Linked DNA regions of Oryzias latipes. The protein of the gene in region 1 binds, or shares a complex with, the protein of each later gene. Links are inferred from orthologs where the notes say so. Each region holds a gene or a part of one and is shown on either strand. Other genes may lie near its edges.

Region 1 (10,594 bases):
TTCAAGCATCTCATTTTATTTATGACTTTGTTACATCTCCCTACTATCAATATTCTCTTTCCATTTCAACTTTTTATCAAATATAACTCCCAGATGCCTAAAACTATGTACTTGCTCCATTACTTTTCCATATAGTTTTAAGTTCAAAACAGTTTCACGTTTTCTAGTAAAAACCATGCATTTTGTTTTAGCCACTGAAAATTTGAATCCCCAATTGTATGACCAGTTTTCCACCTCCGTAATAGCGTCTTGTGTCTTTCTCTCCACATAACGAATATTCCGTCCCCTCTTCCACAAGGCTCCATCATCTGCACACAATGCTTTCCCAAATTCGCATCCAATGGAACTAAAGATATCATTAATCATAATTGAAAACAACACAGGGCTAATCACACTTCCTTGTGGGGTTACATTATCCACGACGTATCTATTAGAAAAAGACTTTCCTATTCTAACTTGAACATATTTATCAAATAAAAAACCCCTTAATCCAATTATAAATTCTTCCATGAAGTCCTAACCTACCTAATTTTATCAATGAACCCTCTTTCCAGACCATATCATAAGCCTTTTTATATAAAAAAAATACTGCCACCAAATATGCTTTATCTACTTGGGCTTTCCTGATGTCTGCTTCTAGGCAGACGACAGGGTCCATTGTCCCTCGACCTTTCCTAAAACCGTTCTGATATTGGGACAACAAATTTTTTCTCTCCAGGTAATAATACAATCTCTCATTTATCATTTTTTCCATTATTTTACCAACATGTGATGTGAGGGCTGGGGCTGTAATTTTCTGGGCTGCTCGGATCTTTCCCAGGTTTTAATATAGGAATAACAACAGCCTCTTTCCAATTTGTCGGCAATTTACCTTCACACCAGATTCTATTATACATGTCCAATAATTTCAACTTCATTTTCCTACCTAAATGCTTTATACTATTGGTTTGCTCGTCTTCTTTGATTAAATGTCGAAAAACATCTGAGCAATCTTCCGCCCTCTAGCGTTTACATTTGAAAGAATAAATAGAGCAAAAACATCACATGCCAGGTAACTTATCTTCAACTTTGGTTCCAAAAACAAATTGAAAAGATATTTCATATAAAAAAAATACATCTTCAGTTGTTACTTAAAGATACAGGCTAAATTGTTTTCAAGTCTTTAAGAGGAAAAATCACATTTATGAGGATTAAAATCATGATCACATGGCCTTTTAAAATGAGCTGTTCTGCCAATTGTTCATCTTTTCCCACATGCTGATTATGACAAAGGTAACTAATATCATCTCATCTCAAATATGTTATGATATATTAGTATTAAACCTGAAAAGGTTGACAATTATTTCATGGCTACACATTACTTTGGCAAGAAGGCAGAATCATTGGTTTAAACGAAGCATGTCCAAAGTCCGGCCTGTGGGCAAAAAGCAGCCTCCATTCAAATTCCCACCTCTCACGGGCTCCTGTCATAAAAATAATAACATGTGGCCCCAGCACTTTCTAAAAAGTGTGTGTACAATTTCTTGATTGTGGCTGGCTAAATTCCATTCTTAGCCATTATAAACCTGTTGTGACAACCTGTGGCTACTTTGCCTTCAGAACCTTAATAACCAAACAAGAGGACACAAAATCCACTATAATTTAGGTTAAAAAAATGTTAACAATGTAGCTGCAAGTGACCCCAAGTCTGGGTCCCCCTGGTCCAAAGCCTGGATAAAATACAGGGTTGTGTGAGGAAGGGCCTCCAGCATGAAACTCAGTGAAAGCTGATTTGCTGTGGCAACCCCTGAAGGGATGTGTTGAAAGGTGAACAAACATCCATTCAATGTGGAAAAAGGAAAAATATGCCATTGCAAAAAAATGGCATCATATAGTTCATTTACATTTAATGCTTTTATAAGAGTTCAAAGAATGCGAGCCGATTGGTTGGCCCTCATACATCTTCAGTTTGGACACCCCAAACCAGCGAGGGGAAATGATTATTTTAGGTGTCATTTATTAGTATTATATAGACAAAATTAGAAGTATTTTCCAGAAGATGGAGGGCAAATTTTCAACTTTTGATTTCAACCAGTTTCAGTTACATTGTGATCTGAGGTCAATCTGTTCTTTATTCATACTCTTCCATTTCAAAGTCTTCATTAAATACTTACATGTATCTGTAAAAACCAGGTCTTGTCTTGTTTTTGCAGTTTATGTGCAAACTTTAAAGCAGTTGTTGGGGTTTCAAAAGTATAAGTATCATGAACTTTGGGAAGAAATTCTGACACACTCACTCAGCTGACTGGTTTTCTGTGTGGCTCTTCTCCTAAATAAACATTTCTGTTTTTTATTCTCAACAAAGTGCGTGATCTTTGATTACTACATTTCTCCAAGCAAGAATCATTGCATGAATAAAGATTCAATCTGCACCTGGGTGTTGCGGTTTAGACTAAAAAGAGGAAGCACGATTATGATACTTTGGTTTACAAATAGACAGTAACTGTTCTGACTCCAGAAGTAAAGAGAAGAGAAAATTAAAGAAAAATACTATCACGTAGAACCTGTTTGAACAATGCGTTAAAAAAACAGTGAACAGCAATGTTACAACTATGTACTACAAAGAAACAATGGAAAAACAGGGGAAGTGCTACGTGTCGAAATATTGGGCTTGTAAAAGCGAGAAGTTGCAAATGCCCCTGCTTTGAATATTTTCCACAGGAACAAAAACACAAAAGCAAAAACAGATGACAGATAACAATTAAAAGAAAGCAAGAAATCACCACAGAAGTATGAGACAACATGAATTGCTTTATCGCCATGATGCACCCAAAAACACAGATCATCTCATCAATCTGTACTTTTTCATTCTTTAATCACAACCTGCATTTAGCTGCTTTCAAAAACTCCAGAAACAAGTAAATACACATTTTTCTAGATCACTTTTATAAAATATAAAAACTTTTATAAAAGTTATGATCGCTGGAACAGGAAACAGATATTGACTTGGACCTTTTGAATATTTTTCCAAACAGTAAACACTAACACATACAGTACTTAAAACTGACAACAGTATATTTACATTTTCAAACTAGCAGCTACAGCATTTACATCTACCGTATGTGGTATATTTTTGATCATATCAACTTTTTGATCATATCAACTTTTTTCTTTGATCTCAGCTTCTTGTATTTCTCCAGGGTCACTAACTTGAGCGAACCGTTCCTCCACCATTCTGTGAGGGGGGTCCAGTTACTCGTCATCTGTCACAGACATGGGATTGTCATAGGCAGCTCCCTCCACATCCTTGGCTTGCTTCCGGCGTATCTCTGGAGGAGGTCGTGGTGGTGGGTTCTGAGGAGGACTTTTGATGCTTTCAGCAACAGGTTTCCGAGTATCTTTGCGAGGAAGAATTGGTTCCCAGTGTTCACCTCGGACAGCTGCCTAGATAGCAGGAGAATGTCAATGCTTTGCCACAAAAGGATAGTGACTATGTTGTTTACTCAAAATTGGAGATAAACCTAAATTTAAACCGTGTTACATCTGAACCTTTGAAACTCATGGAGAATTCAGTCACACCTTCGTTTAATGTTTTGCAATAACGTATGTCATGTTTCAACAGAGACACCACTATGGGACAACTTCTAAGTTGCAGTTTCCTTGTTTCCAGAAACTAACCACTTCCCGCCATTACAACACACTTTTCAAATTTGACAACTGGTGAGCTTTGAACAACTTACTGCCAGATAGATGAGACTGGCAATGCCAAGACAGACACATCCTAAAACTGTGGCAAGCATAAAACCTCCAGGTACACAAAGCCTGTAAAGAGAAATACAAAAGGGTTTAAGACCAAACACAGTCATGGCACAAGCCTATTGTTAGTGAGTGGAAAGAATGCCGTTTGGCAAAAGAAGGATTGACACAAAACAGTCCACTTATTCAAGCGTGGCATTGTTTCAGAACCACAAAGTCAACTTTATTCAACTTCTTTTCAAGACATTAATTAAACTGTTTTTCATCAAATATGTATCTGAAAATATTTCTCTTTTACTTCAAATTTTTCCAATCAAATAAGGATTCATGATCTTAAGTTTGATAAATCTATATATGTTATTCTCTCACGTTTCTTTTCTTTTTTACTTTTTCTTGTTTTGACTGCTTGAAATGAATTTCTAAATTTAGAATTCAAATCTTACTTACGCTGCATGCAGAAACGCTCTGACATAATAGTTTCTTGTTACTGGTCCGAAGGCTTTTACACACACTGTGAAGCAGTACTGGCCCCTGAAAGAAAATGAGTAGTGAGTAAAAAACCTTATAATAGTTAGGAAAATACGTGCTGATGATGAAATATGTAATAAAGGTAAGACTACAGGGAAACTTACGTCCTTTCCACACTCGTACCCTTGGCCCTTTTGCTCCTGGGATACTCGAGCAGGCACACAAAGACCCCAGCAGCACTTGATTTCAGTCAAGGCATTTTAATTATTGTTATCACTTCAACATCATCATCATAAACACACATAGTGCTTAATATAAGACTAAAATGTGCTAAATTGACAAACAAAACAAACTTTTTAATTTAATCTATCAGATTTTGGACTTTATGGTTACATAAAATGGATGATTTTTAACATTTGGGTGAAAAAATCAAATCTTAACTTAGATGAACAGGAAAAGAAAAAAAAACCTCATGGAGGAACCTGCATTTACTGAACATGCACAATAAGGAAGTGTGTACCGGATACTACACAAGTTGTGTTATGAACTAATACTCATCTGTCTAAGACACAGAAAAAAAACAATGTAGTTAGACTATAAAAACAAATATTGAAATATTCAGATGGGATGATATACATTATCTTCAAAAAAAAGGTGAATGAGGCTTTACACTTTCAGGTATTAAAATTCGGGGAAACCTCTCCAGGTTAACCCTGCGCATGCGCCACTTGGTTCTCATGAACCAGAGTGCAAACTGTATTAAAGAGTCTAAATCCCAATACACTTCTTATAATAAGGTAAAGGATACATAGCATAAGAAGCAAACTCCCAGCCTCTAAACTGCCCCGCCACTCCCACAATTCCTCCGGCGAGAAGAACTACAAGAAGGAAACAGGAAGGTAAAAAAATAAAACAGCATTAATGACAACAATCCACCTTTACTTTCTATAGATGAACATTATTTCTGCAACTGGAATTACCATACAGAAATGGAGCTATTTGTTCTAGTGTTAATTGTCCTAGTTATTTCATGACCTGACAAAAAGCAAATACTAACACTTAAAAAATCTTTTGTATACTCACTGAGGCCTGCAGCCAGAGCCTGTTCGTTGGCCCACATGGCCCACTCTATTCTCCCCATGGTGCTGACCCCAAAAACGACGCGACTACGACGCTCTACCTGCGACGACACCTGACCCTGCAGCCTGCACAAGGAAGACGACGCGCTTTAGAGGAGGTGCAGCCCGTAGACGTGCGGCTGGGAGGAGCGGGGCGGGGCGGGGCGGGCGGGACGCAGCCCCGCCTCGCCCGTCGTTTCCGAAAATATGCGGGATTCCCGGGAGGAGGGCGGGGCCAACACCCACCGGACAGGTGCAGCAAGGCCAGGGAGGAATTTCACTTAATCATTAAATAAAGTTTCACCCTTTTCTTCCTGGCAAGGAAGCAATAGCTTCGTTTAGTTTCTAACTTTTTCCTGTTTGTTAACTGATGCCTTCATCTGGATTTGTGTGTCATTCTCTCACATAATGAAACGGACAATAAAGGCCACATTGAATAAAGTTTAAAATATTTTTTACAAACTATTTATCCCAGGTTTAATGTCATTGACAAATACAAGATCTTTAAGGCAATGCAACTATAACATCTCTTTCTAACAGCGAGTAAAAGGAACAAGCTTACTGACAATGATGTAAGAAATCAGAAGACACAAGAGCTGCTGTCACATTTAACATTTATTTAGAATAGAACCTAAAAACTCGTGATTTGAAGTGACTTAGAAGACGCACTGTACAGTTTACATGGGGAAATTAAGATTTATTTTGCTTCTATGCTGGCATAAACTACGGAGCCCCTAAAGGGACATAGATGTAAAAGAAATTGTACTGGTTTCTCATGCGCACAATAAACCAACTGTTGCACACGAGGAACTAAGTGGTTATTATTTCTTAGGACTCCCCTACAAAGACTTTAGCTTTGCTTGCCTGGTGTCACCGTTATGTTACCTCTGAACGTCACCTAAAACGAGTTCTAAAGTCATGTAGTTTGTTTTGGTACCGGGGATGCACTGGCTTTGATCAGCTGCTGTGCTGCACACTGGGTTTTTTTTCTCGTGTGCATGAGAAACCAATACTATTATTTTTTTTTTTACCTCCATGTCCCTTTAGGGGCTCCATAATAAACTGTATAAATCTGTAAACGTAAAAAAACAAAAAAAAACAAAGCTACTTTCAAAGAACTAAAGTTTATGTCTTATAGTTTAGGAAAGCCATCAGGTGACAGCAGGTGTAGAGAGGGATCCTTCACAACCCGGGGGCCTGGACCAGCCTGGAATGTATGACCAAAAAAAAGAATCACTCTGCAGCTCAAAGAACATCCTCTTTGTCTGTATTTGTATGTACCTTGGTGCTAATAATGTAGCTTATTCCCTTTGGCATGGGTTCTAAGCCAACACTCTGTTTCAGCTGCTCAGAGACGGCAGCACTCTTGACTGGAAGACCTTTGATGAAGCTGCAGAGGAAAATAAAAGCAGCTTTGTGACATATTTTTGAGGGAGCTAAAGGCGAACAGGAAATAAGAGTGTGATAGCATAGAAATACAACAGAAACACCTATGCAAGTCTAATCAAATATATATATATATATATATATATATATATATATAACAAATATTAATCCCAGCTAATTACTCTGTACTACTATTACTACTTTGTAAAGTACCATTTAACCCAGAACTCCACTTAAGGTAGCATCATCACTTTGAAAGGATAAAAGACAGAATAGTTTTATATTATCGAAAATAAATTCAGGCATGGAGAGGTGAAACATAAAAAAACAAGCAAAATGCCATTTACATTATTGCCACATATGTTTTTATAATAAAAATACTAATTCATTTCAAGGCACACTATTTCTTTGAGCAAATGTGCATAGGTGCAATTTCAAATGTATTGTTTTCAGCCAAAAATAAATACTATGAACATGTTTGTAAATTTCAAACCCTTCATATTGTCTGATTTTTTCTTTTCCAAAAAATGTATTTGTGAACGAGGCCAAACCTTTTAGCTGTTGGCCACATTCTATCTCAGTAACAGAAACAAAGCCCAATATGCTGCAAAGTCCTTCATGACCGCATGCTTTTATTGTAATAAAAAGAAAAAGGTTAACCTGGTTTCCTCAGCAGGGTTTTATGAGCAAAATGCTATTCAACCCATAAACGTATGTGGCTCAACTAACTGTCTATCTCTTTGTTTTTTAGTTCCTTTAGCTTGTCAAACAGAAAGTATAGAGTACAGTAAATCGATTGGGTGTTGACATACTCCTCTCCATTGGTTTCTGGTGGGAAGAAATGCTGGATGAAGTGGACAAACTCTGGAACGTGCTGTTGTAACGTGAAAATCACAGCGTTTGGCCCGGCATCAAAACTGTAGGCCACCTAAAGGAGCACACAGACTTTCGTCAGCTTAAAAAAAAAAGAAAAGAATAGAAAAAAATCACGTTCCTCTTTTTTTTTATTACCGCACATGTTTCACATCTTTGTTACACAATGTCAAAAATTCATCCACATAAAAATAAACAATTGTGTTTCAAAAGTTACCAAAGGTCATACAAAATGAAAGCCTCATTTAGTCTGTTTTTGACCTGAAATCCAACACTTAGACAGAAAATATCCCATCAGGTTTTTAATTGTGCCCATTATGATTTTCACATATGTAAATATCATAATCCTAATTTTTACTCCTCTAACATGCAACGTCATAATTGTAAGTACTAATACAAGTAAAATAACTAGATCACCAGATTTAAACACAACTAAAAAATAAATACAACCACCACCAAAAAGGACAAAACTGTGGTACTGCTCACCCGTGTCTCCCCATAATGTCTGTTGTATCGATGCACCAAGTGAATGACCTGCTGGGAGACTCTGTTCAGGTAGAAGATTGGAGGGTATGTGTCCAGGCAGGTGGCATGAAACTGGTTGCTGTCTTTCATGGTCAATTCAGCAAATGCAGCAAAGTCTCTTCCTCGCACGGCTTTAATCATCTCCTCCATCCGGTGAGGAACAACAGACTCTGCCCGATGCTGCACACATCATTCACAGAAATGTTATGTTATGAGCGAAAGGTTGTAAAGGTGACTTTAGAACTGAAATTGAATTAAAGATCACCTTTAGTAGGCAACTTGTTTGTACGCTAGTTTGCATCCCAGAAGTGCTGCCGACTGGCTTCCTCTCAGCACTAGCCTAAACAAAAACACATCAGATTGCATTTAAGAGAGCTGCAAACTGCATGGATTCAAAGCTTATATAAAACTTTATTAACAGACGATGATGACCAAATTCTTCATCTAACAAAGACCTACCACAAGGACAAGGATTCTGAGTTCAGGCCAATGACTCTCTGGCTCCACCTGCTGGGCTAAACTGTCCTTGCCATCCTCCTGGTTTCCCATAATCCACTGAACAAAGCCTCCATACATGCTTCGGCAGGCGCTGCCAGAACCTTGACGAGCGACACCAGACAGCTCTCCTTCTACACCAAATGCCTGAGCGAGACTGTAAACTACAACCAAGGACAGAAAAGTACAAGATTACACTGTTGATGTGTTGCACATTAACACTTGCAACTTGAGAATTTTTAAGACAGTTTTCATAACAAACATTTGCAACGTAAACAGATTTTAGATACAGACATAAAGGCTCTCACCTAGACAGGCAAAGCCTGCAGCAGACGAGGCGAGTCCAGCAGCGGTGGGAAAATTGTTTACAGAGCAAATGTGGACTTTTTGAGAAAGACCAGTCAACTCAGTGGAAGTAGCGTCTCCGTCATTGTGCCTCTTTCGTGCCAATCTTCGAACTGAAAACAGAACAAATGGAATTAAAAACATCATGTTTCACTTCTGTATCTTGAATAGTGTTCATAGGAAAGCATTGAACAGAAAGAACTCACTTTCTCTGAGACAAGACTGAAGTCTTGGATGGGTGATGTCCTCCTCTTTGCCATTCAGCCATATTCGATCCTCCTTAAACGATCTGCTGGTTGCAACTGTTGTTGTTGTTTTTAACTGAACAGACATGAAGATAAAGACGTACAGTCAAACTACACAAACGCTATTTTCCAAACCATTTTAGATTCGAAACTTATGAATCATGACATTTTTCCAATTATTTGTTCTTTGTAAGAATACGTAGTAACCATGAAAAGTTAGTTTAAATATAGCTTAAAAATGCACTCATTTTTAATAGCATCAACCCTCTTTTAAATTGATAAAATAGAAATGAGTTGCCTCCCACTGTTGTGCAGTGAATTAGAGGGAACATGTTAAAAGCAGTAACATAGATTGGACGTTATTGTCCTTGCTCCCAAGGTTTTTTTTCATAATGCCCAAGGTCCTTAGTGAGTTTGGAAAGAGGTTAGGGTTAGTCGTGCTCCCTTAACATAAAATATAGTTTGAAGCTCTGGTCTTTGCACATTGAGCTGATTAGATGAATCAAAATCTGCGTGCAGATGTTAACCTGCCCTGACATCTTTATCATCGAAAATAACTTTGTAAAGCACATGTGTCAAACTCAAGGCCCGGGGGCCAAATGTGGCCCTCCATGTCATTTTATGTGGCCCACGATAGCATAAAAGTTTTTATTTCTTAAAATAAAAAATAAAAATGGGTGTGTATTTATTCATATCTAGGGGGAACTAGACTTGAAATATCTGATTGGGCAGCTATACATTAGGACTTAAACACTGTCCATGTAACCTAACCTGACAGAATCAAATTTAACAGGATTTATGCTAGAGTAACGAGCAAACACATGTTTTCTATGCAACAGCAATTGTCACTTTAAAAGTTATAATAAATACATAAATGAATGATTTAACATTAAGGAGTAGTTACGTTTATTTTTCATTACATTTAGTTACATGTATAAGTTATATCTGGCCCTTTGAGGACAACTACTATGCTGATATGGTGAATGTTGTAAAGGTTTGCACCATATTTAATATCACTTTCATTACATTTTAATTTCTTAACCTAACTTTAATATTTCTTAATGTTAAGATACGTTTTCCATTTATGTAGCTGCTCCTCAGATTAGCAGCCTAAAAACTCAAATAATGGCTAGAAAAAAATTTCCATTGCAACAGTTTTACTGTCCTAAATGCTTAAAATACATTTTAATTGAAAAAACAGTCAAAGCTAAGTTGCTTTCTTTTAAAAATATAAGGAAAAGATCTACAAATAAGTTGCTTTTTTCATACAAATCTTAGATAGAAAGACATGCAGTTGTGTTTAACAGCTGTAAGGAAAATGCATGATGGGAAAGTTTAGTTAATTGCCTGGTCTTGATGCAACGTCACGCTCAGAGATGAGTTGATTGGCAGAATCAATTCTTC
Region 2 (9,743 bases), on another chromosome or scaffold:
AATATTTGATTGAAACAAATGTATCTGTTCAGCCAAATGAAATAACCAAAAACCAATGACTATTATTTTGTATTAATGTATGAAATCATTACAAAAAATGTAATACAGTCTTGTCATTTTGATGATTAAAGCCTATAGATGAGAAGGAAGGGGGGAAAAAAGGGAAAGGGAAAAAAAAAGACTTCATTGGGCTGCTTCTGTCCTGTGTCACGTCGTCAATAAACACTAGTGTCCCAGTGCCACTAGCAGCCATGCACGTCCAGGCCAACACACTGCCTCCACAGTGTTTTACTGATGATGTAGTGTGCTTTGGATCATGAGCTTCTCCACGCCTTCTCCATACTTTTCTCTTGCCATCATTCTGGTAGAGGTTGATTCTGGTTTATTCTATCCAAAGAATGTTTTTCCAGAACTGTGCTGGCTTTTTTAGATGCTTTTTAGCAAAGTCCAATCCAGCCTTCCTATTCTTGAGGCTTATGAGTGGTTTGCATCTTGCAGTGTACCCTCTAAATCTTCTTTCATGCAGTCTTCTTTTTATGCTAGACTTAGATATTGATACGTCTATCTCCTGGAGAGTGTTGTTCACTTGGTTGGCTGTTGTGAACGGGTTCCTCTTCACAGTGGAAATGATTCTGCCATCATCCACCACTATTGTTTTCTGTGGATGTCCAGGTCTTTTTGCGTTTCTGAGTTCACCAGTGCTTTCTTTCTTTCTCAGGATGTACCACACTGTTGATTTTGCCACTCCTAATACTGTAGCAATTTCTGTTTTCTCAGCTTAATGATGGCTCCTTTCACCTGCATGGAGAGCTCCTTTGACCGCATGTTGTCAGCAAAATCTTCAAAATGCAAGCACGAGTCCTCTAATCAACTTCAGGCCTTTTATCTGCTTCACTCATAATGACATAACAAGGGAATTGGCCACACCTGCCCATGCAATAGCATGGAAGTCATCTGTCCAATTACTTACAATCCCATGAAATGAAAGGATTTTTATGCAATCTTTTTGTTCAACCCATGGAATAAAAGCTGAAAGTCTGCACTGCAATGGCATCTGAGTTGTTTTATGTAAAATTCACTGTGGTAATGTACAGAAACAAAATGAGAAAGAACGTGTCTCTGTCCAAATATTTATGGTCCTGACTATATTTAGATAGTATACTTCCCACTCGTAGATGGTCTTTTGCATATTTGCTATTCTCATTTTTTAGTGTACTGAATAAAATGAAGTGCAAGTGTGTTACTTTTTGCTAGGAGTTGCATTCGCCCCACCCTATGATGGGTTGCAATAATCCCCATAATCCAGCACAGAACTAATCTGGAACAGAAATTGGATTAATTTAAAATTAAGCAAATATACTTGTATAGGTTTAGAGTTTTTTTTTATCTCTAATCAGATTGAATCTCGGTAAATTACTTTACACATTTCCTGAAATTGAGACACAAAGAGGTTGTGCACTGTTTAAAGTAGCCACACAACATGAATTATTGACCTTTGACCATTGTTTAAACTCTCAATTTAAATTAAATTTGTGTCTCCCTTTTGATTCTTTTTTCATGATGGTCAAGACAACTTTTTTTTGCTTTTTTCCGTTTGGTACAGGATCATTATCTACATTTCATTGGAAAAGTAAAATCCACATATTTCCGGAAAGAATTAAACAAAAAGAGCAGGAGTAGAAGTTCATGTGTAAGAAAAAAAAGCTAGTGGTTAAAGAATAAAGCTTATCTCAGATTTTTTTCAGTAGCTAAATCTATAGTTATTTAACCTTTGTTTTTCTCCCTTGGCTTCTGATAAACTAAATAACATCCTACCATCTTTTCAAATATGACTTCTGGTATTTTAAATATACTGTAAAATACATTGAAAGTTATTTATTTAGCTAAGAGAATTAAATGCAGAAAATCTACAAACTGTTAGCCAGGAAAAATCTGGAAAAGGAGAGGAAGTCCAAATAGTTAAAAAAATTCAAACACATTTACTTTCAGTCTTTAACGTTTAAGCACGCCATTACCAGACTTACATTTAGTTGTAAATAAAAAATAAAGAAAAATTAGGAAAATGTTCCATGTTTGTTTTTTCATGTCCTTAATTTGCAGTGGTACCCAGAGGTTCGCCACCACTGCCCTTCCACACCAATCATCCTGGTGGGCACCAAGCTGGATCTGAGGGATGAGAAAGATACGATTGAGAAGCTAAAGGAAAAAAAACTGGCACCAATCACCTATCCACAAGGCTTAGCTCTGGCTAAGGAGATTGGTCAGTTATACTCAATATTGTTTCAGCTCTGTTTTTTTTTTTAAATAAATATTTGTGATCTGATCTGTGATTTAATATGTTTACATGTATAACACTCAACCCTGTAACTAAAAATGTGCTTTTTGAAGAAAAATATAAAGCTTTTAATATATACGTATTTGATGTTTTATGGGACAAATTCATGTTGATTTAGATTTTACTTTGGAGCTTAAAAAAATGAATTAAAGCCTGAGTGGTGTTGTATGCAAGCAATAGCCACCCCCTCCTGATCTGCCCTCATTGGCTTTAGTGGCTGCTACACACCCCTCACTCTACCCTTCTGCCACTGCTACTTTAAACCCCACTTTTTTCAAAATGGCAGCCAGGTAGTGACGAACAGGTCTAAAAATAATTTTGAAGAATTGCCAAAAATAAATGTTTGGATTTCCTTGGCAACAGAGGGTTTTGTTAATCACGCCCACATTCCATTGTATGTCATATAATTTCGTTCCGCTTGAGCCAAGGATTCATGTATTATTTTTTGTGATAATGTTCCAGTAAAAACTGTGTGAGCAACAGGCGAACACCACTTTTGTGAGTTTGCCACACTTACACTGTCCAAAATCTACAACTTCTAAATCCAACCTTTTTTTTACCCAAGTAGCTTCCCAGTAATGCTCAAAAAGTTAAAAGGCGATAGATTAAATTCTATTGGAGGAGTTTAAAATTGTAGGTTTGTTTAAAAATTCAAGATTGTAGCTGCTTCTCATGGTCAAAGAAACTTTGGTGGTGGTCGTTGGTGTGTGACATTTTGTAAAGATCACCCAAACAAAGCTTGTCCTTTCCCATACATGTGCAAAAATATGAAAATCACCAAAGTTCAAACTTCGGCATGTAGTAGCCATCAAGCCGTAGAACCTGTGTCCATACTATGATAAAAACTTTGTTTGGATATGGCTGACATGTTGGTTTTGTTTCATTACTGAATGTTCAATTTCTTTTTTTTTTGGCCCCTTATTAGATTTTGGCCCAATTCTTTATTTGTTTATTTTTTACAATTTCACCTGCTGTGATTTCATCATTTTTGAGGGAGGGGTCATTCACTGTGTCAAAAATGCATTTTACCAGGTACTAAATATGTGCAAATTGTAGTGAGTTTTTTAGTATGTGTGTGTGTGGGAGGGGGGGGGGGGGTGACATTTTTTGCTTAAAGGCGCAGTAACAAAAAAGAATTGCTAAAACAATCAAATGTACTTATTTTGGTTTTTCTATGTTTTACCTGTTTTTGTCTTGTTTATTCTAAGAGAATTTGTTACAATTTTCTGAGGTTTACTGTGTGTTTGCATATGGACACAGATGCAGTGAAGTACCTGGAGTGCTCAGCACTGACCCAGCGTGGCCTGAAGACTGTGTTTGATGAAGCCATCAGGGCTGTGCTTTGCCCTCAGCCGGCCAAAGTAAAGAAGGCAAATTGCTTAATGCTGTAAATGGTAAGTGCAACATTATCCCTGAGAGGCAGGAGGAGAAATAAAAGGTGGAGAAATAAAACACATGCATTGACTGTGAGAGATGACTAGTGATATTTTAATGATTCAGGTTGAGAGGTTACAGGCTAGAAATAGTTGGGGTCACCTCCGTGTCTGGGCTCTGAAACTCAGTACCTTGAGAGGGGTTGGAGTTAACCCTGGTGGATGAGAGAGTCATGTCCCTTTGTCTTCAGGTGGGGGAAGGGTCTCTGACTGTGGAGCTGTTCCCAGTACATGATGGACTCCGGCAGTTCTGTTCATAGTTTTTATGGACAGAATTTATAGGCGCAGCCATGGGCCGGAGGGGGTCTGGTTTGGGAACCACAGGATTTCCTCTCTGCTCTTTGCTCTGCTCTTTGATGTTGTCCTGCTGGCTTCACAGAGCCGGGACCTCCAGCATGCATTGGGGTGGTTTGCGGCTGGGATGAGTCATGATTGCTAAATCTTTGATTTCTATCTTCATTCCAGTACTCACATATGGTCATGAGCTATGGGTAATGACTGAAAGAGCAAGGTTCCGAATACAAGCAGCTGAGATGAGCTTCCTCCGTAGGTTGGCTGGGCGCTCTCTTAAAGATAGGGTGAGAAGGTTTTTCACCCGCAAAGAGTAAAGCTGCTTCTCCTCCACATTGAGAGGAGCCAGTTCAGGTCGCTCGGGCATCTAGTCCGAAAGCCTCTTGGATGCCTCCCCGGGGAGGTGCTCCGGGAATTTCCCACTGGGTGTGGGCCCCGGGGGAGACCCAGGACATCCTGGACTGGAGAGACTGTGTGTCTTGGCTGGCCTGGGAATGCCTCTGGGTCCCCCCAAGAGGAACTGGTAGAAGGGGCCGGGGTGAGGGTAGTCTGGGAATCTTTGTTTAGACTGCGATGTCCTGGATGAGCGGAAGAAGATGGATGGATGGATGTTAAACATACATTCTTGAACGCATGTTTATCCCATGGCATTCACACTGGACAAGCAGGGAGGAATTTCTTCTTTTGCTATTGTTTTCTATCGCATGTCGGCCACCTACAGTTGGAAAAGGCTTAGTGTGAAATGTCAAAACGGTGCAAATCTTGTGAATCTTTCTTCAGGCTTTCTTTCACAGCTCTATTCCTGTATGTGAAAGACTTGTGCCCGGACAATTGAGCAATTAATAATTTCTCCTCCATGATAAGTTTTCAAACAGTTGGCACTTATGTGAATCACTGCCAAATCCGAGTCCCTGATTGGTCAAAGTTGGACCTGGGTTAACTTTTAATGCATGTTCAATAGCCGTACATTTGTTTGAAGAGCCAGTGGGGGAGTAAGAACATTTCATATGGACGGTTGGGAGAAGAACAGAAGACTTTAAATTAAGTTTTTTTTTTTTTTCATTTGTGATGTGCTGTTCACATTTGCCACTCTTCGAAACAGTTTTACAATTGTTATCGTTATTAAGTTAATAGAGCAGTTGTAATTATATTTTTTATTTTTTTGGCTGATGTTTATAAGTGCTTAAAAAGCTTGAATTTGTGATTTTTTTAAATCTTATCAAAATGATACTAATATTGACTCAGAAATTGGAGAGTTATTGGGGGAGTCCATTTTTTCTTTTTTTTTGCCTCTCCTTGCCTCCTTGTAGCTCCGCCCCTGCATAGAGCCCAAAAATGGTCAGAGAAAATTGCATAACCACGCATGAACATAAAGGTTTTAAACGCCGGAGCCTTAAACACATATTTTATGGGTTTACATAGAGTTTTTATTGGAAGTGGTGGCTTGAATGTGCATTGCCGAGGGCAGTGTGAACATAGCTTAACATAAACACCTTGACGTCTATTGATGCAAAAATGCAGCAAACCACTTTAGCTGCAAAATAACTTTCACTTAGCATCTATTTGAAAGCAAAAAATATAAGTGAAATTTATTTTAATATAAATTTATAATAAATTTATTTTCTCCTAGCTGAAAATAAATGCAGGCTTTAAGGAGTTAGTGGGCCTTATGGATCTCTGTTCTAACCTGCTTTTATGGTCTTCTTTTTAGATTCATTCGGTACCAAAGAGGAGTGAGAAGAGGACTGTGGATGTTGAGTTTAAATGACATGTAACTCTTTTATAACATCTCTACTAGAAGGTTTCAATAGGAGTCCACTTGTTAAAATATTATGCCTTTGCTTTCTTATTTACTTTAAAACTTTATTAATTTGCTTTGAATGGTCTGCTATGAGTGAGCATTGAAAAATGATGTCAAAAATTAGAAAGTTTCTGTTATATCTGTTGGTTTGCAAAAGAACGGGAGCAAAAGTAACAGACCAGAAAAAAATTGATTTATAAAGAAAAGCATTGTGAAATACAATTTCTGGCACATTAAATCAGTGTTTTAATTAATTTATGTTATGCTGAATTATGCTGAACAAGGAAAAGAAAATCAAATTATTTGCTACATGAGAGAATGCAACAAAATCCTGCTTAAAATGCAAAAAATATTATTATTTGTGGGAATGTTGAAATAAAATACTGTATACTATAACATAAAAATATCCATGATCACTTGGTGCTCTTTCTTAAAGCAACCCTACCTTTTTCCTTTTGTTTTATGACTCCATCAGGAAAGAGTGAGCTCAGTCCTTCTGAGGTAATGCTAAAGTAACATATTGCTGTTTTAACCCCTTCTACTAGCATGATCAATCTTACTTGGCTTTTCCCAAAGGCCAAACCATTATGGCAATGATATCAGTCAGACTAATATGCACAGATTATTGGTGGCCATCTGATTAATGGTGGAACTGGAGGCATTGCTACGTTTCTGTTGGGAGTTTTAGTGTCCAGTTTTTTTTTTTTTTTTTGTATTGCCAGTATAAATCAGTATTAGTGGTTTTAAAAACTCACAGTAATGTCAATTCTAGTGAAAATTATCATTAAAGCATGTACTCCTGTAGATGCACCCCTCAAGGATTAGAAAAAATGAAATACTTTAAGTAATTTTCAGGATTGCCTCATTAGAAGGCATCACTGGAATTTAATAGGGAATAAGACTGCAGCAGGTTGTGTGTTTCATGGACATATTGCCACAGAGCAGCAGCCACCTTTTCACATCTGTACACACTGCTGGAGTATGAAATATTCATCTTTTTGTTATAGCATAGGGAGAAATAGAATAAGCTTATGGGAGTAAATTTACATAGAAACATGCAACCTGGAAATAATTAGTAAAAACCTTGAAACTGAACATTCCCCAACTGACAATCCTTTGCACTTTTAAAAAAAGGGAATACAGTGAAGAGCAATGTTGATGCAATCCACTGAAAGAAATTGTCATTCAGTGCAAATCAATTTCAAATTCTTTCCACCTGAAAACCTCTTTACAGGTTCAGCGATTTGTCAAATAGAGTAGACTGTTGTTGAGATTATGTTTGGCTTGACAATTGCAGAAGGTTAGAGCCAACAGCTCAGATAAGATCCAGATAATGTTCACTATGATTGGTGGAAAAGTGTTCCATCATGGACGACTTTAAACCAAAGGTGCAATTTAAAAGTAAATGGACCCAGAGTCAACCAGGATGAAGCTCAGAGCATGAATTCCTTTACAAACTGCTTCAAAAATCTGATTGCAGGGGGGAGAATTTTCCATTTTCAATGATTTCTTTAAAACCATCGTTTTTTTTAAACTTATTCCTACGAAAAAAAAAAAAAAACCTGGAGTCACACGTTTTGACTCTGCTTTAAACCCACTATACAAGCAGTATGGTAGCTAACAGAGCTCAGTATTTTTGAAGGAGACATGTTAGTGTATCGAGTTAGGTTTTCTTATAGATATATTAATCATAGCTGAGTTACAACAGAGTTTTAGGTCCACTTTACAAACAAAAACATTTTTTTAATTATGACTTTAAAGTCCTACATTTATGAGAAAAGAGTTATTCCTATTAAATATGAGAATAAAGTTGTAAATTTACGCCTATAAAACACGTAAATCTACAAGAAAAAAAGTAATAAATTAACGAGAAAAAACACCAAAGTTGTCTGTTAATAGGAGCCATGCTTGAAGATGAAAGATGTGGAGCGTTTTGTAAAGCTTTATTTAAGCTTCACAAAGAAATTCTGAGTAATGCAGAGTTTCATAGGTAAAATAAAGAACTCAGAGACACGTTTGGGTGTAGAGGTCCGCTATTCTGCCCTTATCATCCACATACCCAAAAATCCATTTGTCACCTTGAGTCATGTAACTGTCATGCGCAAAAGAAACACCAAAGGGGAATGAAAATAGTGTGACATACGTGCCCTCCTCCAAATGAAATGTCTCATTTCAAGACAAAACAACAGAGAAGGAATAGAAATAGTCTGTTACATTAGCATAAAAAAATTTAAAATGCCAAAAACTGGGGGTTTTTTTAGACGAAAGCCTCACACAGATTTGGAGGAGATCTTATCTTTCATGGAGGAAGTGGACAGCTGCAGGGATACTGATGGCTTCCTCAACAGGCTGCAGAGATCCTGCCATCATAAAAGAAAATATTAATAAACTGTAAATAAGACAAATGAGCTTCCAAACATTTGTAATGTTATCAATAAACCTTCAACTTACCTGTTCAATTGAGTTTAGGCGGTTACATCTAGAGATGTTTAGTTCTCAGAGACATGGCCAAAGTAAGAAAAGCTGAAACCCAACCACCTCAACAAAATGCACAAGTTCAAACGTCACGAATGGGCCAAGAAAAACTGTACCTCAAGACAGACTTTTCAAAGGTTTTGTGGACTGATGAGATGAGAGTGACTCTTGATGGACCAAATGGATGGGCGCGTGGTTTGATGAATAGTGGACACAGAGCTGCACTTCGACTTAGACGCCAGCGAAGAGGTGGGGTGTTGATTTGGGCAGGTATTAATAAAAATAAGGTGGACCTTTTTGAGTTGAAAATGGACTCATGATCATCTATCAGACCTACTGCCAATTTTTAGAAGACACTTTCTTTAAGCAATGGTAAAGAAAAGAGACTGCATCTTTCAGGAAGACACTCATTTTTGTGCAAGACAAAGCTCGATCACATGCATCAAAGTACTCCACTGGCTAACACAGGCCGTAACCCTTGTGCTATCCTAGGCACTTTAACATTGGGAGTTGGGTCATCTAGACCCCACTAGACAGTGCGCTGAACTTTTTTTTTTCAATGATTTGTGATCTTCACTGGTGTCCATGGATTACATGAAATCCTCTTCACTTTAATCCACCTTTGTCATGGTAGGGAGAACAGGTCAATGTAAGGGTGGGGTCATAGGATAGCACAAGGGTTAAGGATGAAAAGCTCATGACATGGCTGCCTTCTTCACCTGACTTAAATGTTATTGAGAGCTTTTAGGCCCTTCTTTTTTATTTATTTTTTTAACTTGTCCTGTCCACCAGCTGAGCATGCAGATCAGAGCTGAAGGCCTCTTGTGTTTGACAGATTATACTTTTACAACAGGGGTTTATAGATCTTCAGACAAACAGAGTGTATATTTGCATATACACCCCACACCCCAGAGCTAGGGGTTTGCAGCGAAGCAACCAGGGTGGTCCAGGCAACCAAGAGCCCTACTGTCAGACAAGACCCGCGAGGAACCACCCTCTCATGCACTGGACCTCCACCACGGAGACTGAGGCCAAGACTCAGCATCCCACTGGCCGAGGAGTAGGAACAGGCCGACCCCAGCCACTCCCTGGGGCGGGGGACCCCCCCATTGAGCAGGGTATACATACAGGGTATATATACAAACATACATACATACATACATACATACATGTACATCTCCACCTGAGATGGTGAGGTCCGTAGTCCGTAGTTTAGCCACAGAGAAAGGGTGGTTTGAGCAAGGTGTAAAAGATGCAATTGAAAAAGCCTCTAAAATAGGGATGGGAAACTACAGGCGTTGAGGGTGACATTTCTGCATGACTTCCAACATACCCTGTTCTGGCATGTTCTAATTGGCAGGACACACCTTAACCATGCAATCAGTCATGAGTAGGGCTTGGATTTCTG
Region 3 (10,382 bases), on another chromosome or scaffold:
CGTTTATGATGAGGACCACTGACTGTTGGGTTTGTCTCAGCGTACCGTCTGCTCTTCATTTCCATTGCTGTCGTTCCCAGAACTGAGACCTGAACGGCAACAGACCAGATCAAACATGGAGAAACGGAGGAAACGAGAATGTTTTAAAGCCTGTGTGTCATAAAATCTACCTCGAGTCCTCTCCGGTATATTCGGTGCTTCTCGACTTGAAGTTGGAACCAAACCCTGGTGACAGTTATTCCCATTAAAGGCAATTTTCAACAACACGCAAAAATTTGAGAGGAAATCAGGATACTTAAAGATTGAAACTACTCCACATGTCAAAGTTGAGCTTTTAATAAAAAATATAAATATTGTGTATCAATTAGGGATGCCACAAGTGTTGATCAGAAACCAAACCGTATGTTAAACCATTAAAGTGAATCGTTGAACACGGCATACCAGTGTTTTAGGTTAAAAGTGTTCAACAAGTGTGCTAAATTTAAAAAGCATTCAGGCTGTATTCAGATTGGAAACATTTGCTCAACTTGAAGAGAACCAGAGTTCATTTCAAGTTTCATTCTGAGGACCCTGGCAAGCAGACCCTGATCCTGGACCAGGAACCGCTCTCTGATCCGTCTTTCGAGGTGGTTTCAGTTCATTTCCAATCAGACTCATTTCTGGAGTTTTTCTCAGTCTGAATAGACTCCATATTCAGAGCAGAACAACTGAACCTAAACGGCTACCTCATCTTTACAGGATGTAAACGGATGAGCCGCAGAGAATTGTGGAGCGACGATGAGACGCAGCAACTCATTAAATTTAATGAGCAACTCTTTAGCTCATTAAAATAACTTTTAACGTGATACACATTGTTTTCACAGTGTTTCCCGACAATCTGTGTCATAAACAGTTATCTTGCAGCCTCCGACACAGACGTTCAAAATTGTTCAGCAAAATATAAAGTTTGGATAATCCGACATGGATTGTAGGACTTTCATTATTTATCTCCTTGCTGTGTCCTGCCAATGGTTGCAGAGATTTTCAATCACATGCTTTTGTTTACAAGCTTTGGTTCGAAACAAATCTCCAGCTGAAAAGCCATCTGAGTACAGACCAAATGCAAGGTTCAGGACTTGATCCAGACCAAATTAGGCAAACTGGGTCTAGACCAACTAACTTCTCCAGTCTGAATACATCCTAGTATTTATTGTTTTGTTACATTACCCCAACCCCAAGTATGAGCCAAGTGAAGTCTTTCACTTCATTGTAACTCGCTGATTACCAAATTAAAAAAAAGGATTTGTCCAAATTTTTTGTTTTTTGTCATTTTATAAACAAATCTTATATCAAAATGACACAAAACTGTGACCCAAAAAAAAATCAAAATTTGTGCTAAATCGTGGAGAAAGTGAATCGTTGCATCCCTAGTACCAATACCTTTTTCTGTTTTAAAGCCAGAGAGATCTCCTGACGCTCCAGGTAATTGTACGGTACGAGTCCCGTCTGTAATCATAACCACGAATAAGCACTCAGTTCTCTACTAAACACACAATCTGGGGGAAAAAAATGATGCACACACTCTCAAGAAGTATCACAGATTGTGCATACGGCATTCTTACTCTTCCATTGAAGATGACATAGGCCCAGTTGTCTGCCCCTTTCTGCAGCACGAACACCATGTTGCCGGGCTTCACGGCCAGCTCGTCGCAGGTTTCAGGAACAAACTCAAACAGTACAGTGTGGGGTTCACCTTCCAAGGCTCTATGAAGAATAGACACACAAAGGGTATCGTAACACACGTGTCTTTTTGTCATTGAAGGAAGATGACGTTTAATTTGATGAAAATTAGAAAACCCTTTTACACGAAAGGACAAAGACATTCAGCAAAAAGATATTAAAAAACATTTTATCAATTTCTACTTGATAGATTTTTAAAAAAACTTGGGATGTACCTTAAAACTTCTGGTTCTCTTGGAGAAAGTGGACCATCTTCAACCTGTTTAGTGATTAAGAAGGAGATTATCCAGTCAGTCCCTGATTTACTGAGTCATACTGGTTCTTGAGGGCTCCAGTGTTTTCCCCAGTCCTGTCTAGTATACGGGATGTACACACAAAACTCACAAAAGGTAATCCTAATTTCAAATTAAATATAAAATTAAAAGGCATAAAATCTTTTATACATGGGCAATGTTTAAATGCACATCCAAAGATTCAAGAATTTTTTCACAACAGCCTGCCACAAATAAGATTTTGTTTACTGACTGTGTTTAAACCATGACTCAACCTCCTGATGTTCTGGTTCTGATGGAATGACAGATAGGGACTTGTATTTGTGACTTGGACTTGACTTGGACCAAAGTCTCACATGCAAATATTTGAATTTAACCTCCAGGTTTGGGACTTGTGAATAAATAATGTTTGTTAAAAAATTATCTTTAAGAAGCTTTGCCGAAACATAAACTGTCTGTTTTAATGTCCACAAAAATGTGATGACAATTTGTGTTAGTAGACTCTTCATTAAAATTCAAATTTGAGACTTGAAATGACAGACTTGAGACTTCAGAGTTGATTTGGACTTGGAAAAAAGGGACTTGTGACCTTCTCTGTCTTTTAAACAGCTTGAATAGCAGATGTGCTGACTTTCTGCTTACAGGTTATTCTGAAAAGTGATTGAGATACGGACGGATGGATGAATGGATACTTTTTCGATCCCGACAAGTTGTACTACACTTGTCACTGCTTTTAGCTTAGTGTCAATAAAAAATGTAGGAGGGAGAAACAAACATCGCATGCTTCTAAGGCTCATTTTCAAGCTGGAAGGTTGCGTGGACATTTCACAATTTTTCAGAATTTTTTGTTGCCTCATCACAGCATTTAGCAACGAAAAATACGAATCTCCGTCACCTGTGGCTGCAGAGGAGCAAATCCAGAAAAATCGTCTTGTGGATTGACAGAGGCAACAACCTGATCATCAAACAAACAATACACAGATTGTTAAGTTCACCCTCAAGATTTCCCAAATCATGTAAGATGATTTATTTCAATGAAAAAGATTTATTCTTACTTTGGCTTTGCCCAGGTAGTCTTTCTTCTCCAGCTCTGCAACGTAATGTTTATTTGGTTTAAACATCATTTTTGATGGGAACTCCACTAGTTTGAACAGCTTCTCCTTCTGTCAATGAAATCGCATCAAAAAGATGTCCTAAATCTGACATTTCAAAACCGCATTCTGTCCCTAAACTTTCCATGGAGGCACGGTTGGACCTGAACTTACTGGACAAATAAAGACATTATTTACTCTGACGAGATCCTTAGCAGAGATGAAACTGCAGATGTGTTTTGTTTAATAGTTTTTAAATGTGTGGATTAACATTTTAAAATATTTATTTATATTCCTGCTGAATCCCTTATAGGGGTCACAGGGCTGCTGGAGCCTATCCCAGTCGACTGTTAAAATTACTTTTTAGATCCCCCCCCCTCCATGTAAATTGGGCACTTTAAGAGAAACCCTCGTTTTTCATCAGATCAATGCTAACCAGGACTGCCTGCTGAGCTTTTTCGATGACACTGAGCTTGGCGTCTGTTTTGTAGTCAAGCGCCTTCCTGAGGTTTTGCTCAGCCTTTTCCCAGTTTCCCAGCTGAGCCTCAGCCAGGGCCATGTTGTGGAGAACCTTTGAAAGGAGAGATTTTATTTAGAGCTTTTCTCATGCAAACAGCAGAATTGGAAGGTGTTATGATTTAGTGATGATGTAGTAGATTGTGCCTAAGGTTGAAAACACCTACCTCACATGCATATAGAATATATCTGAGACCAAGGGCCTTGTAATCGATCAGGTTGTTTCCTCTTAGCGTTTTGAAGGCTCTCTGGAAGTCACCAATGCTCTCTTCGTACCTTTACAGATGTGTGATCAAATAAATTGCATAACAAATCAGTGAAAACTTGTGGTTTAGGTGCAAATACTTAACAGGTGTTCTGAATTTGGAATGAAATGGAAGGAAATTGGTCGTTGTTTGTAAAAAGCCGGTGTGTCTTACCTCATCTTCTTATAAAAGGTGATTCCTCTTTGAAAGAAAGCCACTGCCAAATGCTCATCCTTGCGAATGCTGCAATCGAACGCCTATGAAACAGCAGCAACTTCCTTTACAAAAACGCTTTCAGCACCACTTCTTGTTTCACTGCGACTCGCACTTACACTACAATCGAATTCAATCTCTGCCTCACCGGTTGCATCCAGATAACTGATGTTTTCAGATTTCTAGTTTTCTATTTTAGGAGCAAATTAATAGTTGAGAAATGCTTGACTTTACCTTTTCAGCATCATCCAAGTTCTGGTTAAGCAGATGCAGACAGCCGATGTTGAAACAAATCTTGGAGTTTGGCTCAGGAATGGCCAAGAGAATCCGGAGAGCTTCCGAAAAATCCTGTTTGTCAGCACAGGTTACGCCGTCATCCCACTGTCGCAGAGTGTCCACAAAAGACATTTTGGCTGCCGCTGAGACACAGTGACTGAATTGAGGAAGTTTCTCTGATTTATGCCATGAAAAACAGGAAGTTGATGACAACGTTCAATGAATTTGCATCAACGCCATGTGCTCTTGAGTCCAAGTCAATATAGTAAGAATCGTGGTTTGATCTGTGAATCGTTGATCTGAAAAAATTATGGGTGTTTAAATATTTACTGTAGTATTTTAAGAGTAAATAATGAAGTAAAGTGCAATAGTAGTACTCCCCACCTCATCATTATCTTTGGTTAATTTTATGATTTACATGGATTTGTATTAGCAATACCGTATTTTTTTCATTTTTTTTCATTTACTCATCACAAAGTCTACCTTAAGTTAAGATTTTCCAAAACTTCACTGATTAAAAATGAATTAATAAAAATTGTGTGAACCCATATATTTAGCCAAAACAAAAGAACAGGTTATTTTATTACCTCAATGTTTTTTAAATTTATTCTTTTATTTTATGTGCCTTAAGAGATAAATGAAAACTTATGAGTAATTAAAACATTATTTTAACATTATTTAGCAAAGTTTGAGGCTTAAATCTGGCATTACAGTCTGCAAAACAAAATAGAATGAAAAAACAAACAAAAAAAAAAGGTTACATCTCAGGTTTTAATAGACTTTTTCTTTAAGTTATATAGATTAGTGTAAACATTAACAAAGTTATAAGAAAATAAATTATTTTAGAGTTTTGATTTTTTTTCTCTTGTCCTTAAAATTGTTGAATTGTTGGCCAACACTCTTTAAAATTTTTCTTATTTCCCCAACCTTTTAGCGAGACAAAAATATACTTTCTGGTACTTATCTTGAATTAATTAAATGCATTTTCTTTAGTATGTAGTAAATAGTAAATACTTCTTCCATTCCATTAAAATCCAATTTCTACATCTGTTGGAACAAACACTTTTATTTCAAAAGCTAAGATGTAAAATTAGATAAGATATAAAATAGCTAAGCCATAAAGTTAGAAAATGTATCGATTGGTTATTACGAAATGATACGAAACTTCACAATTTTTGGAATATATTTTATTTACTAAAATAGATTTTTAATTTGTAATCCAGACTATTTTATCAGAAGGAGTTCAATTGTTTGTGAGAAGTAAAAAATAAATAAAAATAAGCAAAAAAACAAACAAAAGAAAACGCAGTGAAATTATTGAAGTGGTTATAAAAAATTAAACCTAATGGAAAAGCCTAAAGAATGCACTTTATTTGGCCTTTTCCCTTCTTTTGTTAATGTTTTATCACCTGCTATGTACTTGTATAATTTTGTTATAATTTGAGTTGTTGTTCCGGGATTTAAATCTTGTTATTCATCAATTTTAATTGGAGGGGGAAAAGGGAAAGGCTTTTATTTAATAAAAATAAAATTGTAGAAAGTGACGTATTTCCGTTAGAATAGTTAGCTTGATACTGCCGTCGCTACTAAACAAACATGGCTTGGCTACTTTTTCTAACAACGAACCTTTTGGATACGTAGGGAAACTTAGAGGGAACTATGCAGCTACGACTTGGGAACGTCATGTGCATGACACAACTGCATAGATGAAGAGCAGCTATAATTGTGTAGCTAGTTTGCTCGGGAAAGCTTTTTTGTGACCGTGTTTTGCACCAGTTAGCTCAAAAAGTGGCTAACTAACTTAAGCTAGCAAAATGGACCTTGGAACGATGTTGTACAATAACTTAAAGGATGTAACGTGGAGCACGACGTCTCTGCCGCTAGACCAGCTGGTCAGTGCGTACAAGTTGCCACAAATTGTCATGCTGGATAACGGTTAGTAACTTACTTCAAGTTTTATAGCTACCATGCTAGCCAGTTAAGGCTTCTGCTTATCAGCTCTAGTCTAAGCTAATGAAAAACAAAGATTCGCTTTAGTGCAATAATGCTATAAACTGATTGATATAAAAGCAACCTTGATGGTAATGAATAAGAATTTAGGTCATGAAGTAAAAACGAAAAGGCTATTTTGCTAATCAAAGGAAAACGCTGAAGGTGTAAAAAAACAACAACATTGCCTTCACAACATCATGAGTCCCCTAGTATGTCTACACTTTATTTAACTAGAAAGTGTCTTTGACAAAAGTTAACATCTACTTAGTTAAATTTGTGTTTTTCATTTCATAATTTAAATGTATAAAACATGCAGAAATTGTGTGGGATTATGTCTAATGGATTTTAAATTACCTTTTAAAATGTCTCTTTTAGCAGGTGATGGTTATCCATAATGTAATGTTTTGAAGTAAAAAGGCTCGTGTCCAGTACTTGATTCATTTTTAAAAAACTTTATTTGTAAGTTGAACATACATTTTTATGTGTAATTTCTGACACATTTATTTATTCAAATCTTAATATTTTCCTTTTCAGGAAGCAACTCACTGGATAGACTATATTATTAAAAGCTTCATCCAGACCTGATTGTATCATAAACTCTTTGTGTACTTTGGTTGATTGTTAAACTTCCTTTCTGCAGCTCAGTTGGTTGAGGGCCTCAGAGAAAACGACTACCTCTTGATTCATTCCTGCCGTCAGTGGACAACTATAACTGCTCACAGTCTAGAGGAGGGACATTATGTGATTGGGCCTAAAATAGAGATCCCAGTTCATTATGAAGGTAAGGAGCCGCCATGAAGATGGTGCTTCCTTTGAAATGGCTCTTTCTTATCTAAATTATTCATCGTGTATGCTTTCAAAAGTTTTCTGAGTGATTATTTTGAGAAACTGATGAACCACCAACTGCTTACTTCTCATGTGATGGCAGAAGCGATGGAAAATATCAGCACTAATCATTCGTGTTCTGCTTAGGCCAGTTCAAGTTGCTGGAACAGGACAGAGATGTCAAGGAGCCCGTGCAATACTTCAACAGTGTGGAGGAGGTGGCCAAAGCCTTCCCCGAAAGAGTGTACGTCATGGAGGACATCACGTTTAATGTTAAGGTACACTTTCCCCTTCCAAAGTGATCATTTTGATGAATAGGACCGAGATGAGCATCCGAATACTCAGATATACGCCATCTTTTCCAGAAAACTGTACCAATATTTGTGACGTGGAAATATAGTGGAATATATATAAAAAATAAATTATCACTGTAAAATACAGAAAAATGTTGGATTTTAAGTTTAAAAACTAAACAAACTGAATGGACTTCTGTCACAGGAAGTAAACAAATTTTCAGAGTAAAGTGTCAGAGAAGGTTCTCGTTTTCAAAGTAAAGCTATCAAGTGTTTTCTCAGATACAAAAAATGGGAGTAAAATTTTGAAATAAATTCTGAAAAAAACATTTTATTTAAAAAGTAGTTGATAATTTAAAGAAAAATTAGAATGAATAGGACATTTTAAAATATTATTAAAATCTTCTGTTCAGTTATGTGACGTACCAGAACATGTCTGCAAAATATTCATCTAAAGTGTGGAGGTTTTTTGTGTTTTCCACTAAAGATGAAAACAGTGAGTTAATAAAATATGTTTGCTGGAAACTCTGCTGTTAGTTTAGATTAAAGAACAGTTCCTATTTATTACAGAGTCACTTTTATTGAGGTGTTGCTGTGTCTTCATTTATTGTTTTCTTATCATCCATCTACTGGAACTTTAGTCAGCCAAACTCTGAAGATGGAAAAACTGTGGAGAACACTTCCAGGACTGGATGTTAAACGATCCAAAGCAACAGTGACGATTATGTTTTGTACACTACTGAATTTGACCAGGAAGGTTACAGAAAAACTTACACAAGTGTGACATTATTTAAAGTGACAAATACCTTTTCTTTCTTTTAAAATATTTGAGCTTTTATTTATGTTTTGCTGATTCTTGTATCCTGTTCTGAACAAATGTGTAAATGATGTTTATAGATCCAACAAAAACACGTACATGAGGCGACCATTCATTCATAATATATTAAATGGAAAGAATTGTGGTTTGATCTGTGAATCGTTGATCTAAGAAATGATCCACATCCCTAATTAGGAGGCATTTCCAGTTTTTTCCAGCAGCAGGACATGCTATAGCACGTCTATGTTCATAAAATGTTCATCTCTTTTTTTTAATAGGCATTACTATGAAATGATGTGTATCACGTTTCTTTTATTGTAGAGACTTCTACCAAAAATCACTTAGACCTGATTCTCTTAGAGTTCAATGGAAGTTGGTGGAACTGATGCCATGAATGTTTTAACTTGGTGTGGCCAGATGTTGGGAAACGTGGTAGTTTGGCAACTCTGAAGCACAATCCTCCATTTCCTTCGTCTTACTGAAGGGGGAACTGGTTGTTGTTTTCTGCTAAAGTTGTTTTAATTAAACCACCAAATGTGAAAGTCAGACCGCCCTTAACAGCTGCCAGCTTGCATTCCATGACTTCCTTATCAATACCACAATGCACCTGGAGTAAAAGCCCTCAGAGAAAAACCAGTCATGAAAAACACAGAAACAACTTTTTAAAAAGTGGTTTTAAACAGGCATTTCATAGTCTGTGTCTTTTTTTTGGTTGATTGCTCAATAGAAAGAAGCTGTTAACTAGTTTAGGTTAATGTTCTATAATTGTTTTTCTGTCCTAGATGGCTTCAGGGGAATGCAATGAAGAGACAGAAGTTTACAACATTACGCTGAGCACCGGTGATGAGCTCACATTAATGGGCCAGGCAGAGATCCTCTACGCCAAAAGCTCCAAAGAAAAATCACGACTAAACACTATTTTTAAGAAGATCGGGAAGCTTCACTCCATCAGCAAGATCGGCCGGGGCAAGATGCCGTGCTTGATCTGCATGAACCATCGCACAAACGAGAGCATCAGTCTCCCGTTTCAGTGCAAAGGCAGGTTTAGCACCTGCAGCCCGCTGGAGCTTCAGATGCAGGACGGCGAGCACACCATCAGAAACATCGTGGAAAAAACCAGACTCCCCGTCAATGTCATCGTGCCCAGCAGTCCACCCCGGAACCAGTATGACCTTCACCTCGTCCGGGAGGGTCACCGCTATAAGCTGGTCAACATCCAGACAAAGACGGTGGTTGTGTGCTGCATTCTGCGGAACAACAAAATCATTCCCTTCCATTTTCCCTTTCATATGGCCATGCCGAGGTTCATCGTCCCAGAGGAGCTTTTGCAAGGGGAGCTGTGGCTGGAGACAATGGTGCATCGCTGGTTCTCCTTCTGCCAGGAGCAGTTTGACATAGACGATTACTCCCGGGCCGTCCGGGATGTGCGGACAGACTGGAGCGACGACGTAAAAAGTCCCAACAAAGGCAGTGGGAATGGCACCTGCTCCGGAAGCAGTGGAGGCAACGGCGGTTCCAACGGTTGCAGCAGCCACATACAGATCCCCAACTCCTTAACGTACGCCCGCGATGAACTCACCCAGTCCTTTCATCGACTGTCTGTGTGCGTTTACGGAAGCAACCTGCACGGAAACAGTGAAGTTAACCTGCAGGGATGCATGGCGCTATGTGGAGATTGGACTCTTCTGCCCTCTGACGGCCAGTACTCTGAATCGGGAGAAAACGAGCACCTTTTCCCTGAGCTGCTGGATAGCACGACCCAACAGCCGACCTTCAACAAGCTGGACGGTCCGTATGAGGAGCTGTGGTTGGATCACTTAAGAGGACAGACGCCTAAACCCTCCTCAAGTGAAGGAATACGAGGTGTCAACAACGGCTGTCCTGTCGCAGCTCCACTGTCCTTCCCAGTCTCTTGTCCCGTCTGTCCTATAGCCAGTTTAGATGTGCCTCTTACTCCACCTCCTGTCCCACCCAAGTCTGAAGCCGTGAGTATTTTATGTTCCTACTTCAAGTTCTAGTTCTTACAGGCCACGTCAAAGAAAAAATCCACGCGTTTTTAAAACACGTCCATCAGAAAGTTCTTTTATGTACGAATTTTTCAGACCATAAGTTGCTCCGGAGTA

Evidence for each region.
Region 2: cytochrome b-245 light chain (region 1) and ras-related C3 botulinum toxin substrate 2 share a complex: the UniProt entries of both Homo sapiens proteins name them as parts of the phagocyte NADPH oxidase complex. The link is inferred for Oryzias latipes from reciprocal best matches to the Homo sapiens genes CYBA and RAC2.
Region 3: cytochrome b-245 light chain (region 1) and ncf2 share a complex: the UniProt entries of both Homo sapiens proteins name them as parts of the phagocyte NADPH oxidase complex. The link is inferred for Oryzias latipes from reciprocal best matches to the Homo sapiens genes CYBA and NCF2.

Annotation. Positions count from the first base shown.
Region 1 is NC_019861.2:22,087,131-22,097,724, reverse strand, and holds cytochrome b-245 light chain, read right to left. Parts: upstream 5,755-10,594; 5' UTR 5,345-5,754; coding exon 5,287-5,344; intron 5,082-5,286; coding exon 5,012-5,081; intron 4,443-5,011; coding exon 4,368-4,442; intron 4,267-4,367; coding exon 4,183-4,266; intron 3,802-4,182; coding exon 3,720-3,801; intron 3,424-3,719; coding exon 3,232-3,423; 3' UTR 2,285-3,231; downstream 1-2,284. Other genes in the region: mvd (diphosphomevalonate decarboxylase), read right to left, coding at 6,454-6,528, 6,603-6,711, 7,520-7,635, 8,067-8,285, 8,371-8,445, 8,565-8,764, 8,909-9,058, 9,152-9,266 and 1 more. UniProt on the Homo sapiens protein: Subunit of NADPH oxidase complexes that is required for the NADPH oxidase activity that generates, in various cell types, superoxide from molecular oxygen utilizing NADPH as an electron donor.
Region 2 is NC_019859.2:25,181,419-25,191,161, reverse strand, and holds the end of ras-related C3 botulinum toxin substrate 2, read left to right. Parts: intron 1-2,100; coding exon 2,101-2,260; intron 2,261-3,595; coding exon 3,596-3,726; 3' UTR 3,727-3,729; intron 3,730-5,770; 3' UTR 5,771-6,266; downstream 6,267-9,743. UniProt on the Homo sapiens protein: Plasma membrane-associated small GTPase which cycles between an active GTP-bound and inactive GDP-bound state.
Region 3 is NC_019878.2:10,708,797-10,719,178, forward strand, and holds the start of ncf2 (neutrophil cytosol factor 2), read right to left. Parts: upstream 4,695-10,382; 5' UTR 4,465-4,694; coding exon 4,291-4,464; intron 4,101-4,290; coding exon 4,018-4,100; intron 3,875-4,017; coding exon 3,766-3,874; intron 3,654-3,765; coding exon 3,519-3,653; intron 3,155-3,518; coding exon 3,047-3,154; intron 2,947-3,046; coding exon 2,887-2,946; intron 1,979-2,886; coding exon 1,935-1,978; intron 1,744-1,934; coding exon 1,602-1,743; intron 1,486-1,601; coding exon 1,420-1,485; intron 226-1,419; coding exon 171-225; intron 90-170; coding exon 46-89; intron 1-45. Other genes in the region: garem1 (GRB2-associated and regulator of MAPK protein 1), read left to right, coding at 6,147-6,267, 6,965-7,105, 7,297-7,427, 9,042-10,244. UniProt on the Homo sapiens protein: Subunit of the phagocyte NADPH oxidase complex that mediates the transfer of electrons from cytosolic NADPH to O2 to produce the superoxide anion (O2(-)).